Linked DNA regions of Lepisosteus oculatus. The protein of the gene in region 1 purifies or fractionates together with the protein of each later gene. This does not show direct contact. Links are inferred from orthologs where the notes say so. Each region holds a gene or a part of one and is shown on either strand. Other genes may lie near its edges.

Region 1 (7,946 bases):
CATTAGATGTGTTGAACAGATTCCAGAAAAACAAACCTAATGTAAAACTGTAAAGAATAAATTCCTAAATTGATAAATAAATCTCAGGATTACAGTGAAAAAATGGTTGGTGAAAACTGAAGTATCTCTCACCATGTTGTTCTTATGTCTGAAGAAAAATGTTTGGAAGTGAACAGTTTCTTAAACTGACCTTGTTAGTGTTACTTACTATTTTAGTTTGCCTATCGCTCTCTCTAGAGAGAAATCATTTACAGCTGTGTTTTTTTTTTAAATGGAACATTAAGACATTATATAAAATATATACCCTCTTTATATACTGTACATCTTTTAATTTTTTTTTCCTGTTGAATGAAAGCAACTGTCCAAGAAGTAACCATTTATAAACAACAGCTCCCTCTGTTGGTTATCATGATGACAAATTGCGATAATCTTTTAAACAGACATCTTGCAAAAAAGATTCCACTTCTCTTGAGATGGAAATTATATCTATTGGTTGAGGAAGCTGCATTTTGAGTTAGTTTAAAATATTTTAAACCAGAATATTGAATAAACGGATGGCACAGAGGCACAGTGGTTAGCATTGCTGCCTCTCAAACCTGGGGCCCTGGGTTCAATTCCATACCTGGGGTCATGTCTGCATGGAGTTTGTATGTTCTTTCTATATTCACGTGGGTTTTCTCACACAGCCCAAAGACATACTGGTAGGTTAACTGGCTTCTGGGAAAAGTGGCCCTGGATTTAGTATGTGTTTCTGTGTGTGCTCTGTGATGGACTGGCATTCTTAAAATGAGTGACGCTACCAGAAAATAGCTGAATGGATCATATTCAAGTAAATAACATTCAATATGTGCGAGAACTAAACTACAATGACAAACAATATAAAGATACCACAGGAAATGCATACAGTTGTTCCTTGTTACACTGCCAAGACTTACAAAGGCATTAAAGGTACTGATAAACTAGGATAGGTATGATAAATGGGGCAGTTTATAGATGATGCAAGAATGTTCTAGAAGAAAATAGAAATATGAGAAGCTGGTGTTATAATAAGACAAATGAACCGCATAATAGAGATTTTGAAAAAATAGTTTGAGACAATGATTCATTAAGACACTGAAATTTACACTACAAATTCACTAAACAAATCCATTAATATTCAGTGACATAGCACAGAAGTACACAGCTTAATGACCATTTTAAATGAATACAATTTAGTGATTTACAGCATACTAAAAACTATACTGCAAAGGGATGAAAATATCCAGTTCCATACAAAATGTAGGGTGCAGTACAGAGCAACATGGTCTTGTGAACATTTATAAATGACTCACCGAGTTTGAAGTAAAAAAATCCTGCAAGCAATATATTTAAAAAAATAAATACTTTGGAGACCATGTAGAAATTGATCAGGATAATAACAGCATGAATTCACATGGTGGTGATGATTAAGAAACATATGAAGAGCTGAGGAATATGTAATCTGGGTTTCTAATGAAAGGTTCACCTCATCTTTTATGAGCTCAGCTGCAGTTTCTTCTAAACCCAACTCATAGCACAGTCGTACAAAGACAGGTCCAAACTTGAATTCTCCAAAAGCAAAATTTCTGTTCTCATTATGGTACCTAGAAGAGAAAAAGCAAACCATAACACAGAAAAAATAAGCTCAGTTAGCTTACAAGTGTACTAAATTTTCAAGACATGATGAACCAGTATTTGTCTTATTTTTGCCATTTTGCTCTACAGTATTGTTTTTTCCTAGAAAAACAAATCAAACAACCGTGTTTAAATATCTTGTCACGTCTTAAAAGACAGGTTTGGTCAACCCAAACAAAGCTAATAAAAAGCCTTGTATATCACCTATTCTTTAGTAAGCCTTACTTGACCCCTGAAAATAAAAAACTTTCAAGTTTGCTCGGAACTGCTGACACTGAAATTGGATTTTTTTTGCCTGGGAGAGAAAAACTGCATTCCTTCATTCCTCAAAAGGACACTTTTATGTAAATGTGATGATCTGTATTATTACAACACCCATTAATTTGGAATTGTGACTCATATCAATTATAGTCATCTTATATATTTTATTTGAATTTGCGTTTGTTCAGTATATATTAACTCACATTTTCTTATGGAACTAGACAATTACACTTACCCATACAATTAAGAGGCCAATAAGATATGTTCTCTTCTTCAAACAAACTAAAATGGGGTAAATCATAAGCAGTATCATTTCCTAAATACAAAGATCCAAGTTTTGTTTTCACAATTAAGGGGTGATGTTATAGTAATTCTTTTCAATGTTTTTCTTTTCTTTGAACCTTTCCAATTAATTTGTATGCAAAAAGCACAGGTTTTCTGAGATTTTAGATGGCAGCAATCCAGTGCTACCCTTTCAGCATCTGTGATAAATAACTTTCCTCAGGCACTTACTTGTATATTACATTCTTTGCCATTTCTACATCATCCGGGGTTTGGCACAGATGCAAGAGCATTTTTAATTCATCTTTCAGAATGAGGTCATTTCGTTGTATCTTTTGTTCTAACTTCTGAAAATACTGTTCTGAAAAATAATGAAGCACAAAAAAGCAAAAGTGAATCAATTTTGTTGGATATGAGAGTGTTTCAATAAATAAGGCAACAAAAGCTCTCAAAGTGATGCATTTATGTGTAGACAGCTACAAGTATATCCAACGCTAACTCTAATTTGTGATGCGTATTCCAGCCTTGCCATGCAGGCTAGTTTTGTTGAGTGGTCGGGATATTATTGACATATCAACTCTGAAAGTCGTTAGTCACCTCACTAGTTTCCTCTCGCCCAGGTACTGAGTTCGTCCAGTTAGTGACTTGGTTTTAGAATACACCTTCAATGTCAACATTTAGTATTTTTGAAAGTTTTTACATCTTTCTCCTAAGATTTTGCACAACTTTATCCCTAAAATGTATCTCAAATCACTTTGGCTTTCATAGATGAATCTATGATTCTATGAAGTCTGAGGGATCTTTTAGAGCCTGGTGTATTTATTCTGAAATCACATGAACCATGATTACTGCACCCAGAGGCCAGTCAAATATCTGTGACTTGCCAAAGTAATATAGTGTTCACCTGAACTTATATATATATAATATAGGTTTGCCATAGCAAATAGGTGAATACTTTATATTTCACTAATATTATCATAATAAATCAATATTTTCATTTTTGTTTTTTTTCTGCACAGATTTGTTGACATTTAATGTTGTTCAGCAATAAAAGTGTCCAGCTTAAGCTTTGAAGTTCTGATTAACATGTTAACTTAGATGTGTATCCATCACTTGTAAAACAAAACAGGAATAAATGGGAGAATACTTCTGCGAGGCATTCTAATTATTGCTACTCGCCTACTGTATATTAAAATGAAATAAATTAAACAGTAAGAAATAACTATTTAAAATGCAATAATAAATTCTTATGTGTAAAAGTGTACAAAGTACAGTAGAAAGAACACCCTGCGCCAAAAGGAAAGGCAGTAACTTGGATCCAATGCAAGAAATCTTTAATCCCTGTCTGAAGATTCCTAGTATAATAGTTACCTTTATTGCCATACGTCTGGTGAGCAACTGCTATTTTTCTTTGTTGGAATTCTTGTAGTCGTATAACATCCTCTGACAATAAGTACCGTTTTGCTGCAGATATAAATTAAATTATAATACAAAAGATTAGAATGTAGTTATTTAACATTGACTACAACAATGAAAATCCTAAATAATATCTTATCAGTGATATTTGTTTAAAAAAAATCAATTTTACATTATTCAATAGTTGTTTTACTTTTTACTTTATATGGCCCAAATGTCCACTACTGACTTGACTGAAAAGATAACAAAATGGATCCAGAATGGTATATGATGTTTTTTTTCTTCTACTGCTTTTGAGCCAACTTGATTTGTGCTCTCAAATGGTGCTAGGTTTTTCTAACCTTTTTTGTGACTAAATGAATACAAGGGAGAATTTGAGAAGTTATCTAGAGAGCTGAAAAGATGGCCTAATAATGTACCTGTAGTTTGGGCATATCTGAGAACCCCAGGATAACATATGGGATAAGCAGGGTGGAAACTTTCAGAGATGTAATATTAATACTGTGAATACACAGTTGTACCACTACAGTGGGAAATACACCACATTACCCTAGATGATCAGCCTGCTACTCATCAGTTTGTCATGGTACATTTACTGTTAACAACAGAAAAAGATACACTATGCACAGTATGGCATAATTTCCAATTACGCATACAAATTGCAAAATTGGGTTGATGATTTACAAAATTACAATACAATTTGACTTGGATCTAGCTTTGAACAGTAAGACTGGGAATGCAGTCTTCTTGAATGTAAGAAAGCAGATATATCACCTACTGTCTAAGGAACACGAAAACAACTGGCAATACTAAAAATTCTTAAAATCTCTCCTACGAAACAAATTTAAATTGCGTACTCTTCAGACGTTTATCTGATACGTATATACATACGTTGAAACAATAACTGCAGTCGTACAGCAAGTTCGAGTTCAGCCAAACACACATTACACATAGTGTTAACTTAAGAGTTTCAATACCGTAAAAAGATGTAAATGACGTACCGCCTAACCTGCAAGTCCAGCATTCTGATGGTTTTAAACCAGAATGAAAAGCTTTGCGTTTGACATTGCATAATAGATTCCTTAAACAAACCCCCATCTCTCTCAACGCCATGCTGTTATGTGACTGAACCAATTATTTACAGGGGGTGACACACTTTATTTAAACGATCCGAGAAAGAAAAAAAACACATTTTACATTCAAAAACTTCGTGGATATTCATGTTTTTTATCAAATGTAGTTATTTATTTTTGATATGTACATTTCTGTAGCTGTCATGAGCCACCTATTTTTAAAAGGTCATTTACACCCTTTACGTCATCAAAAATTGCTTCATTCCAAAATGGCTGCTTCCATGTTACAACGCTGTGTTTTGTCTACAAGGTGCTTAACAAAGTATGCAACACAAAGTTTAACAGGTAATATAGGGAATTAAATCAGCTACAATGGTAGCGTTGATCTTTTTCATACTGCTTCTTATTTTAGATTTTCAATGTCAGATTATTGCTGGTAGTTGCCTAGCTGTCATAGTGACAGTCCTTTTACCAAGTAGTAAAGGCGTCTGTACCCCAGAGGTTAATAATTTATTAACTGAAGTGTTCGTTTAGGTTTTTTAATACTGGTTGATAAGGATGATAGATTTGCATGCGGTTAGGGAAAGATCAAGGATACGTGTTATTTTCTGTGTGCAATGCAGCACCAGGTAACGTTCAATGCTGTGCGATGTTCAACGCTTAGCCGTCTCTTGGACTGCCTCATTCGCCTTCATTGATGATGTAACTAGTGATGGCAGCAGTAGAATAAACTCTGAAGTTTACAGAAACATTTCTGCGTTACATTTAAAATTGGTCAGTCAACAACAATTGGTCAGACAAGTCAGTCTCCAAATTTAAATGTAACGGACCGCGTATTTTACACGATCAAGGAAAAAAGTAAATACTGTACATCGGAACATTGGCAAGAGCCCAAAGTAACTGCAACAGAACATCTCAGACATGTGCTAAAAAAATCTGGTGAGTTCAATGCGTCACCAGTTTAATGCAGTTTTTGTCAGAAAGGGATATGCAACAAAATTACTTGCACCCAATGTCTCAAATTTACTTTAGGTAACCTGAAATCTCTGTGTTGAACGCAAAATATGTTTTTGTTCTGATGTGATTGATCAGTGCAACTATCTAAAAACAAAATGTTCCAAATATTGTATTTATCATTCATATTAACCTTATGATCACAAATTGCTTAACTTTAAATGCAAAAGTAACAGCTGTGTCTTTGTTTCCCAGTACCTTTTTGAGGATACTTGTGTTATATTGTCCTTTTGTTCTTCTAGCTAGAAGATACCTTTTGTCACCGGCATACACAGATACTGCAAAATGGGAAGGGAGACGGAAAGACCCTCAAAACCTGGGTATGTTCAAGCAATGTTACACTTCCTGAAACTCAAATTAAACTTGGGTACAAAATGTAACAGATAATTAATTTTTGCTATCAATATTTCAGCTGATTTTTTCCTGCAATCCATTAAGCAAAAACATCGACCTTTGGTGCATTTTCTGTTAACATTCCATTTCTTTGTTAAATGTACAGTATCTTATGATATGAAATATAGCGTAAGATCATTGTATATTTTATTTGTAGCGATTTTACCTACAATACTGTGTCATAGCTGCAGTAAAAGACATAGGTGGAAAGGTTTTAGGATTATCCTTTACTGTACATGCATAAATAGGAGATTAAAATGAAAACAGAAGGTACAATATACGTTTCTTACAAGTTACCTTGTAATCGTATTCACTGACACATTTCATCCTAGAAAAAATATATTTTTGTTGTGAGAATGACCCTTATACATACTTGCTCTCAACCTTAATTACTTAAATTAGAAAGAAAAATTGAGGGGCTGTTTGTCCTGTCCTCTAACTTCAGCCCCATTGAAATGTTGCATAATGTGTGTGACAAGAAAGTGAAAAAGAAGAGTTTAATTAGCATAAATATAATTTAACCAGGGAGATGTCTGGAGGAAATTGATCAATGTTAAGAAAGTAACCACACACTCAGAAAATGGTTTAAAAAAATTAATCCATTTATATCTGCATAATAGACAGCACCAAGTTTGTTGAAAACGAATGGATTATTACAGAGCAAGAAAATGATGGCCAGCTTGTTCACAATAGTAAAGATCTCTTTGCCAGGACTGAGCGAGACAACACCCATTGCAAATACTTTTACATCACCATAAGTCAAAACATGTGTCAATCATCATCTCTGCATCGTTAAAATGATTTGAATGGGATATGAAGTCTTTCTTTTGCTATGTAGAACTAAATTGAAAAAAAAAATCATATAGTGCAATTTCTTTGTTGTCAACCTTAATTTTAACCAGTAGCTTTATAAGTTATACATGTAGTTGAAAATGGAATAGCCAATTATTTGTATTACTGTATATGAACGCTCAGGTTTGAATTTTCAGATCTTATGGCATCCTGCTTGCCATACTAAAAGGAATGTAAACATTTTCCGCTGTGTGCACATCTCCTGGTCACCAACAGAGGGCAGCATTGCCTTGCACAAAGGATAGATTGAAAGCACCAGTCCTGGTCCTGGAGAGCTGCTGTATCTGTGGGTTTTCATTACAGATTGGTTCTGAATAAACTAAACCAGCTGGTTATTATCTTAACTGGGCCAATTTAAGAGCTTCTCCCAGCTATCCAGGTGCTTCTGCTTTAAAACACCAATCCCACACAGTTTCCTATTTTGTAAATATTTTTAATTCTGAGTGCACTATTCTGCTTTTCTCATCTAATTTTTAATTAACTCGAGAATATCAAAATTTCCTGCAGCAGAAATGTAGACACCTGCTAAGAATTGAAGCAGTCAGTACCTGCTCATTAACCCCACACTTACTTTCAAAGTGCTATGCTAATAAAAAGGCAAAACCATAACGATAATGCCTACAAGGGTCTGATTTTGAGTTCCTTGTTGTCTTTAGCTTTCTTTATGCGATAATTAACTCACCTTTTCTCCTCTACCTATCAAAATTGGCATCATTTGCTCACCCAACAGGTTTCTCCATGATGACTGTATTGCTGTCCAAACACTATCTGACCTTCAGTTTTCTGTTTTTTTCACCAGTGAATTTCATCATTCTGTAAAATGAGGCCCTCTGCAAACATACTTAGAAGCATGGAAACAAAATGACATCACCATAAAATATTGCAATATATAATGTATGCAGCGATTCAGGAAACATGACAGACATTTTTAAGAACATTCTCCAAACTCCTGCTTCTAACACAAGCCAGGTTCGGGCTTTTCACAAGATTATTAATCTGCAA
Region 2 (7,696 bases), on another chromosome or scaffold:
GCTATGCAAAGAGCTACCCTTCCTACTTCCATGTTGACCTTGCTCAAGAAATCCACTGCTGTACAACTGAGCCACTAGTTCTAATTTCCAAACCCCTGCAAGTTCATAGTGTCTGAGAGCTATAACGCGTTGCCTGGTGTTCTGGATGACTACAAGAAAGAAGTCTGTACGTGGGTCTGATAGAGGCGACCTCTATGGGCACATATAAGGTTCTGAGGGGCATCTACATGGAAAAGGGAGCTGGAGTCAGTGTAGGACAATCAGTTTCCTCTGGGAAATAATCAAGCTTATCAGTACTAAAGCTTCCCATGTCTGCCTGGAATAAAAACAACTACAAGATGGCACATTTTAACTAATAGGGATAGCAATAACTGACCATGGGCACCAGCAGACAGTAAGTGTTTCAGTCAGAGAAGAGCTCTACATCTGACATGATGCTGCACTCATGACTCATGTCTGATTCAATATATTAGGTGCATGTAGTAATTATTCTGCAGCTAAGCACAAAGATTGCATTGGCTAAACGTACAATACGTTTTAGCAAAAGCACTCACACAGTGTTCTTTCATAATTCCCGGGGTGTCATACAGCCAATGCGCATCTTTGAGCTCGTTGTGGGTGAACTCCACTGGGTTGGAAAGAGCTGATTTTTTACTCATTCTGTCTTCTTCCTCCTCTCCCACACTGAGACTTTCTAGATCAAAATCCACAACATCCATATCTTTCTGCGCCTGGACAGCCGAGCCAAAAGATCTGCCAACTCGCCCTGAAATGAACAGGGAAGACAAATTCCTTGTCAACCGTGCAAGTGTGGCAACTCCACCCCCACAGGAAGTCTTTCATTGGGCTCTTGAAGAAATCAGGGTCATGGAGGAACAGGAATAGGTTTATTATTATAATTATGGGCTTGAAACCAGGCTGTGTTAAGGTACCAGATGCTGGAATGTAAGTTAAAGTGAGGACTGAGAGTTAAGGGGAGCATAGGGTTAGAGTTAAGAGTTTCACTGTGTCATTTAAGTTAGGGTTAAGGGGAAGTTTAGATTTAGTCACAGGGTTTTTATTCTGTCTCCTTTTAATTTATTCAGGCCTGAACAAATGTTGATCTGGTACTGTCATAGAAGTCAGAACTCTTACCTACTAAATATCCCTGCTTGCTGAGCTGCTGCAGTCGTCTTAACTCCTGTGGGCTCAGGTCCTTCTCTGACTGAGAGCCATCACTCTTCAGTCTCTCAGACCTCTTGAACATGCGATATGGAGTGGGGTTGATGATTGGGAACTTCAGGAGATTTAGTGTGGTGCCTCATGAAGAACAGATAGGTTAGTGTCTGCTTCCATCTGCAACAACCTAAAATATGACCACCTAACATGGGATAAATTTAGGTTTTGACAGATGGAAAACAATACTTTTCATACACTGAGCTGAGGGAATAGCGAAAGGTATTTCTTCCTCAATCATCAAAACATCTAGTGATTTAGACTGAGGTTTATTACACTGTTCATACAAAGACTTCACATAAACATATCCTAATAACTTGAACTTGGCACTGCAAGGCCTTTACTTAGACATATGGGCAGTTTCTCTGCAAATCATGCTAAACCTCACTGCATTATATAGTGCCTTCATAGGCTTCTACGACGAAAGAGAGCGGGTCTTCACTTTGCACTGGCCTGCAGCCTGGCAAATGTACAGTAATAATTACCTGGCCATCGAGATATGGTAGCTTTCTGAATCACATCTGGAGCTTTCGACTTGCAGTAGTCTGACTCCAGCAGGGTGTTAAACAGTGTAGACTTTCCAGCATTTGCTGTTCCAACCAAATACACATCTCCTTTATATTTCCACGATCTTTGAAGACTCGAAATTAGGTTTTCTATCCCATAGCCGGTCTTGGCGCTGATGAGATGGACGTCTTTGGTGCCATCGCCTAAAGTAATACCTGCGTCAACACAATATGCAAAAAGCTGACGTTTAATTCGTTTTAAATAGCAATCCGAATCGCCAGGTAGCAGATCTATTTTATTTCCCAGAACCACTATGGTTTTATTTTTGCCCACTAGTTCTAACAGATCTGGAATGATAGAATCGGGAATATCCAGAAGGTCCACAATGAACAATACCAAAGCTTTTTCTTGGCGTATCCGACTAACAACATTCCGATATTCTTCTTTCGAAACCTGAATATTTAAAGACTTTTGGTGATGGACAAGCAAGAAACATCGCTGACACACCGCTCTGTCCATCTTGTCCTCCTTTATTAGCTGTTTGTATTTCTCACTGGGTACATAACCGGGCAAAATCGGGTCAGTGCAATGCATACGAGCACCGCATCCCGAACAGCTGTTGTCACTAAAAGGAATCTCCTTATCTGGAGTGCCGTATATTTTTTGAGATTTTTTCCTTTTAGAAGTTAATTTAGGAAGGGGGAAGCCAGCGTCATGAAATTCTATATCCATTTCTTGTACGTCCTGGTCCTGGTCTAACACTGTATCTTCTAATAACCGCATCTGTATTTCCAAAGCTCTGTGATACACCTCTGTACACGACTTTCGCGATGCGTTTCTCTCTTTATTGGCCACAGACCCCATCTGCGAAGGGGGTTTGAAAGAAACCCCATCATCGTTCTCTTCCTCTAGGTTGGAGTAGTCTAGAAAGACGAATTCTTCTTCTTTTTCTGGTTCAATCGATGTGTAAGAGTTTCCAAGACGTCCCTGCTTTCCGCTGTCGCCGATTGCCGCTTGCGTTGTGCTGTAACAGCGGGCCACTGACGTCCACGTGTCTTCCAAGCAGAAGATCTTAAAAGTTGGCACTTTTCTACAGAGTCCTGGACAATTGCGTAGAATAGATGAACAGCGATTACCTTGTCTGTCCCCCAAAGTTGGTAAAAATACAGGAAACACATTCCGGGCGCAATAACAAGCAGGAGCACATTGCTTTAGTCGGTATAACCTCTGCATTTTTAATATAATTAAAAAAGAAATTATACTTGAAATATTTTTTTAAAGGTTACGTTTTTTCTTCTTAGTTGAACCTTGAATGGCAAATAATAACATACACATGTGGTGCGTCTAGGAGTCTTCCATTTTTAGTACTCTGACTCCTGTGACGTATATGATTACCACATCAAACCATCCGAAATTATTATTAATAATTATTATCACGATTCTCTTTGTATTATTATTGAGAATATCAATTACAATTAACATATTTCTGGTGGTTCAATTATTTTAAAATGTTTCGTTTGACGTCACGAAAGCCTGCAGGAAGTGACGTATACACCATCGATATCTCGTACTGTTGTGTTCAGGTGGTGTGGATGGAAGTAGAGGGTTATAGCGCACTTATTTTTAATTCAACGTATTTGTAAGTGTTTTTTTTTCTTTTGGAGTCAATAAAGGAAGTACCTTCAATCCAATATGTATGATCAAGATGAAGGTAGGTATCTGGTTTGTTTAGTTCTTTTTTTAAACAATATTTTGAACATGGCGTCAGGGTACGTTCTTTGATTTTTGGTCTGTATTGTACAGAGGTGTCTTATAAATGCAAAATGAATTGTGCCATTAACTCTGACACGTTTAACGACATCTGTTATTTAGATTTTGTGCATCCTGAAGTTTGTTTTAGAAATATTGTGCTTCGTTTTCAACATTCTCAGTCTAAACCGTTCGTATTTACAGTCACTTTCAGCACATGAGTTCTAAATTTGTATTTTGAAATGCATTCAACAGGCGAGAGCTTTACATCCAAATAGGGAAGGTGATTTTCCAAAAAGCTTTTGGCATTTCAGTTTTATCAAGAAACGCCAGAAAATGAAATCGGAGGAACGGTAATTAGTTCATGGTGGTTCTAACATCTCATTTTGCGTACCACTGTCCTTAGGAATTAAAAACGTGGCCTTTTCTTTAATGTTCGAAAAGGTTGCAGAGTAGCAAACGTTATAAAAGTCAATTTCGGTGAAGTTAACAGATGCCTCCTGATGTATTAGTCTAAGTTCTGTCTTTCGACAAACAATCACACTCGTGTCGCCATTGTAACAAAGCTGCTTCAGAGAGGGCAGGTTATTGAGGAGAATAAAGATTTTTTGCTCCTTTTATCCTTGATCATGCCTTTAGGAAGTGGAATGAAGCAAAGTGCCTGGAGAAAATTCATATGTGTACATGCAGTGCGATCAACTCTGCATAGGCGGCACGCTGTCTCCAGAGCTGTGAGATAGCAGGTCCAAGTACCATGTCTCTTGAAAAGCTTTTTACCACGCATGTAGTGTAAAAACAGTTTCTGTGAAAATCAAATGCATTAAGGGCCATCTTACCTTTCTTTGTTAGTTTCATATGCAGCAAGCTTTCTTCCTGTAGAAGGTAACTGCCTGTGAATAATACTTTTTTAGGGGGAAGTCCAAAGAGAGCATAATATTTTATGTGGATGGGGCTCCCTTAATATTACAATTCTGTGGTCTTGTTTAGATATTCAGTATGATGAAGATGACGATGAGATCACTCCAGACTTGTGGCAGGAAGCCTGCTGGATTGTCATCAGGTGAGCAGCCTAAAAAATATAACATATTAACCACCTTCACCTTTTAGGGTTATCTTTTGATTTTATTGATCTTATTTTTGACTTAATACTCACATTTCAACATTCTTCTGTGCTGTAAAAGTCCAGCCCTGGTCCCAGTGACGTACAACCCAGCAGATTTTGAATGTCACCATTAGTTTTCCTACAAACAATTGTAAAGACTTGAGAACTGAAATGAATAATTTCAGTTTTGTTCATTTTTTAAAGCTACACAGTTTAAAGGTTGGTCATTCCTGATTTAGTTGAACCAGTTACCTGACTAAACTGATCACAGTCCACATGTTGCAGGTCCTTACAAAGATATAATTTAAGGATGACCTATAAGACCTACTTGATTGTGGCTCTCCACTGCAAAAGTTGAACTGTTTTTCATTTTGTTTTAAGTGTGTCCCCTTATATATTCATATATATGTTTGTCTGTTTATGTCCAGTCAAGTTCTATCCTGCTTTTTTAAAAAAGCACATTTTTTTTCTGATACAGATATACAAAGTTAAAAACATTTCTGGTAAAGGGTTTCACAGATTTGGCTGTAATGAATCAGAATGTATTTAAAGTTCTAAAACAGAAGGAAATGTTGGGCTTTAATGAAGATAGTCTATAGTTCACTGTCATTCTTAACATTGCAAGCTGCAGTTTGTCTGATGCAGTCAGCATTCTTCCTTTCTGTGCAGTTATTCTGACCTATATCTATAGAAGCAGTAGTGATCATCTCCTGTAATGCAGATCTTCAAAGCAAATTCAGCCCAGGTTTTTTTCCACATTTGGGGCACAAAGGGGGAGAATGGTATTAGTAATGGATGGCCTGTTCTTGTCTTCGTAGTTCTTATTTTGATGAAAAGGGTTTGGTGAGGCAGCAGCTGGACTCTTTCGATGAGTTCATCCAGATGTCAGTACAGAGGATTGTGGAGGATGCCCCACCCATCGACCTGCAGGCTGAGGCCCAGCACACCTCTGGAGAAGTGGAGGAGCCCGTGAGTCTCTCGACGGCTTGAAAAGATTTTTCCGGCATGTGACCCCAAGCAGTCTGAAAGTGTAGTGATATGTATTGATGCACAGATACGTCTGATTAATTGGTGCAGGGGGCGGTTTGCCCACAGTAGGGGCGATTTCTGTGAAATCAATGGGTGGATTTTGCATGTTTATCACCTCTTGTCATCTTTTCGTTCTAGCCACGTTACCTGCTGAAGTTTGAGCAGATTTATCTTTCCAAACCTACGCACTGGGAGAGAGATGGAGCTCCTTCTCCTATGATGCCAAATGAAGCTAGACTCCGAAATCTTACGTAAGTTGAGCTTTACATTGTTGTGTTGCTCCCTATTCTGATGCGATCCCCCACATTGTTTAGTTTTGTCCATTGCTGTTGCAGAAATGTGCTTCACACCAGGGTTTTTTTGAGAGCTAGAGCAGCATTGTGCAGCAGGGGTTAGGTCTCTGAAACTGGAAGGTTAAACTCCAGCTGAGACAGTGCTGTTTGTACCTTTGACCAAAGGAATTCACCTGAAGTACTCCAATAACAATACCTGGCTTTGATATTTTTCCATTTTAAAATAAAGTTGGACACTGGGCTCCTCATTTCTGGTCTACCTTCTAAAATAACGTTTCTCCCATCACAATATCAATTTCTGGATAATTTATTTCTCTTATTAAGGGAATGTATTTTAACCAACTGGTTTAAGAAAAACACCCTCTGTTACATTTTGGTATGGTGAATGTTGTAGTGTACTGCCCTATGGAAGGCTTAGTGCAGTTTCCATAGGAGAACAGAAGATCATAAACTATGGTCACCTGTTACAGAGTATTTGCCAGTGGCATTAACAGAATTGTTGCTTAAGGGTCAGTGAGTATGAAAGTGAATCCCTCTGTGGGTTCCCCAAACTGAGGGAGGAGGGGTTAGGGTGGATGGTGGGGGGATGACTGAATGTGGAGGAGAGGACAGGATGGATGTCACTAGTTGAAGACTGGAGATAATTTTTTTATCTTTATCTTTCTTTTATTGTATACTATTTCATGGTGGATTTTTTTCTTCTCTTAATCTTATTGTTTTTCAATGATGGATGGTATTTGAATTTTGTTGGAAAATTAATAAAAGGATGTAAAAATACCCAGTTTTGAGTTCCATTGTAAATTGGTTTGGTTTAAAGGGTCAGTCGGATAAAAATGAGTAGAGAGTAAAGAGTACTACCTTTGGAGAAGGTGTGCATGAACTGACATCAGGTGTTCGAAGGATAGCAAGTGGCCGACTTCACAGCTGGTCACGAGTGATTAGTTTACGTAAATGACTAGTATAAACTGTTAACCTAGTGGAGTGTATGTGTCCTTTCTTTTGCGTTCCTTATCTTGATATGAAATTCAAGTCAGACCCAAAACATTGCTGTGTTTGTATCGTACAAAACACTGGGGTTTGGCACATTGTCCTGGCCAAATTTCATCCTGGCCTTTACCAGTCATACCCTCCTAATAATCCCTATCTCTGACTTCATCACTTTGTTCTCCTCCCCACTGATAGCTGGTGTGTGCTGGGTGTACTGGTGCACTATGTTTGCTATTGCATCATCCAGATGGGTGCTGCACATTGGTGGTGGTGGAGGGGAGTTCTCATTACCTGTAAAGCTCTTTGAGTGGAGTGGCCAGAAAAGCGCTATATAAGTGTAAGCAATTATTATCTTCTGAATCTATTGATGTTCACAAATTTTTTTCCTGGCTCAGGTACTCTGCTCCTCTCTATGTGGACATCACCAAAACCATCATCAAGGAAGGGGAGGAGCAGCTGCAGACGCAGCACCAGAAAACCTTCATCGGAAAGATTCCCATCATGCTGCGCTCCACCTACTGCTTACTCAGTGGGCTGACAGACCGTGATCTCTGTGAGCTTAATGAGTGTCCCCTGGACCCGGGAGGCTATTTCATCATTAACGGATCAGAAAAGGTAAAAGGAATAATCCTGTCCAGCTGAGCACAGCCGATGGACAGACATTTCATGTGAAGTGGTGTTTTACAAAGATTTTCATACTCTATAACAGCAATAGGGACACCTTTAGTCAAGTCTTTGGCATCGGTCAGAAGTATTTAATGTTTTAATTGTTAATAAAAATCTGCAGATTTTCCAAAAAAAAACATTGTAGATT

What was found. Proteins that work in one complex are often made in the same cells at the same time.
Region 2: the proteins of mrps27 (region 1) and noa1 purify together in Homo sapiens (co-immunoprecipitation; 3 studies listed by BioGRID and IntAct, counting the BioPlex papers as one, with this or other methods). This does not show direct contact. The link is inferred for Lepisosteus oculatus from reciprocal best matches to the Homo sapiens genes MRPS27 and NOA1.

The regions. Positions count from the first base shown.
Region 1 is NC_090698.1:24,318,065-24,326,010, reverse strand, and holds the start of mrps27 (small ribosomal subunit protein mS27), read left to right. Parts: upstream 1-4,945; 5' UTR 4,946-4,954; coding exon 4,955-5,030; intron 5,031-5,496; exon of another isoform or gene 5,497-5,624; intron 5,625-5,941; coding exon 5,942-6,019; intron 6,020-7,946. Other genes in the region: ptcd2 (pentatricopeptide repeat-containing protein 2, mitochondrial), read right to left, coding at 1,505-1,622, 2,428-2,557, 3,568-3,660, 4,590-4,725. UniProt on the Homo sapiens protein: RNA-binding component of the mitochondrial small ribosomal subunit (mt-SSU) that plays a role in mitochondrial protein synthesis. Stimulates mitochondrial mRNA translation of subunit components of the mitochondrial electron transport chain.
Region 2 is NC_090696.1:33,267,096-33,274,791, reverse strand, and holds the start of noa1 (nitric oxide-associated protein 1), read right to left. Parts: upstream 3,092-7,696; 5' UTR 2,956-3,091; coding exon 1,701-2,955; intron 1,300-1,700; coding exon 1,135-1,299; intron 767-1,134; coding exon 555-766; intron 1-554. Other genes in the region: polr2b (DNA-directed RNA polymerase II subunit RPB2), read left to right, coding at 3,415-3,433, 4,459-4,531, 5,392-5,542, 5,741-5,853, 7,278-7,497. UniProt on the Homo sapiens protein: Involved in regulation of mitochondrial protein translation and respiration. Plays a role in mitochondria-mediated cell death. May act as a scaffolding protein or stabilizer of respiratory chain supercomplexes. Binds GTP.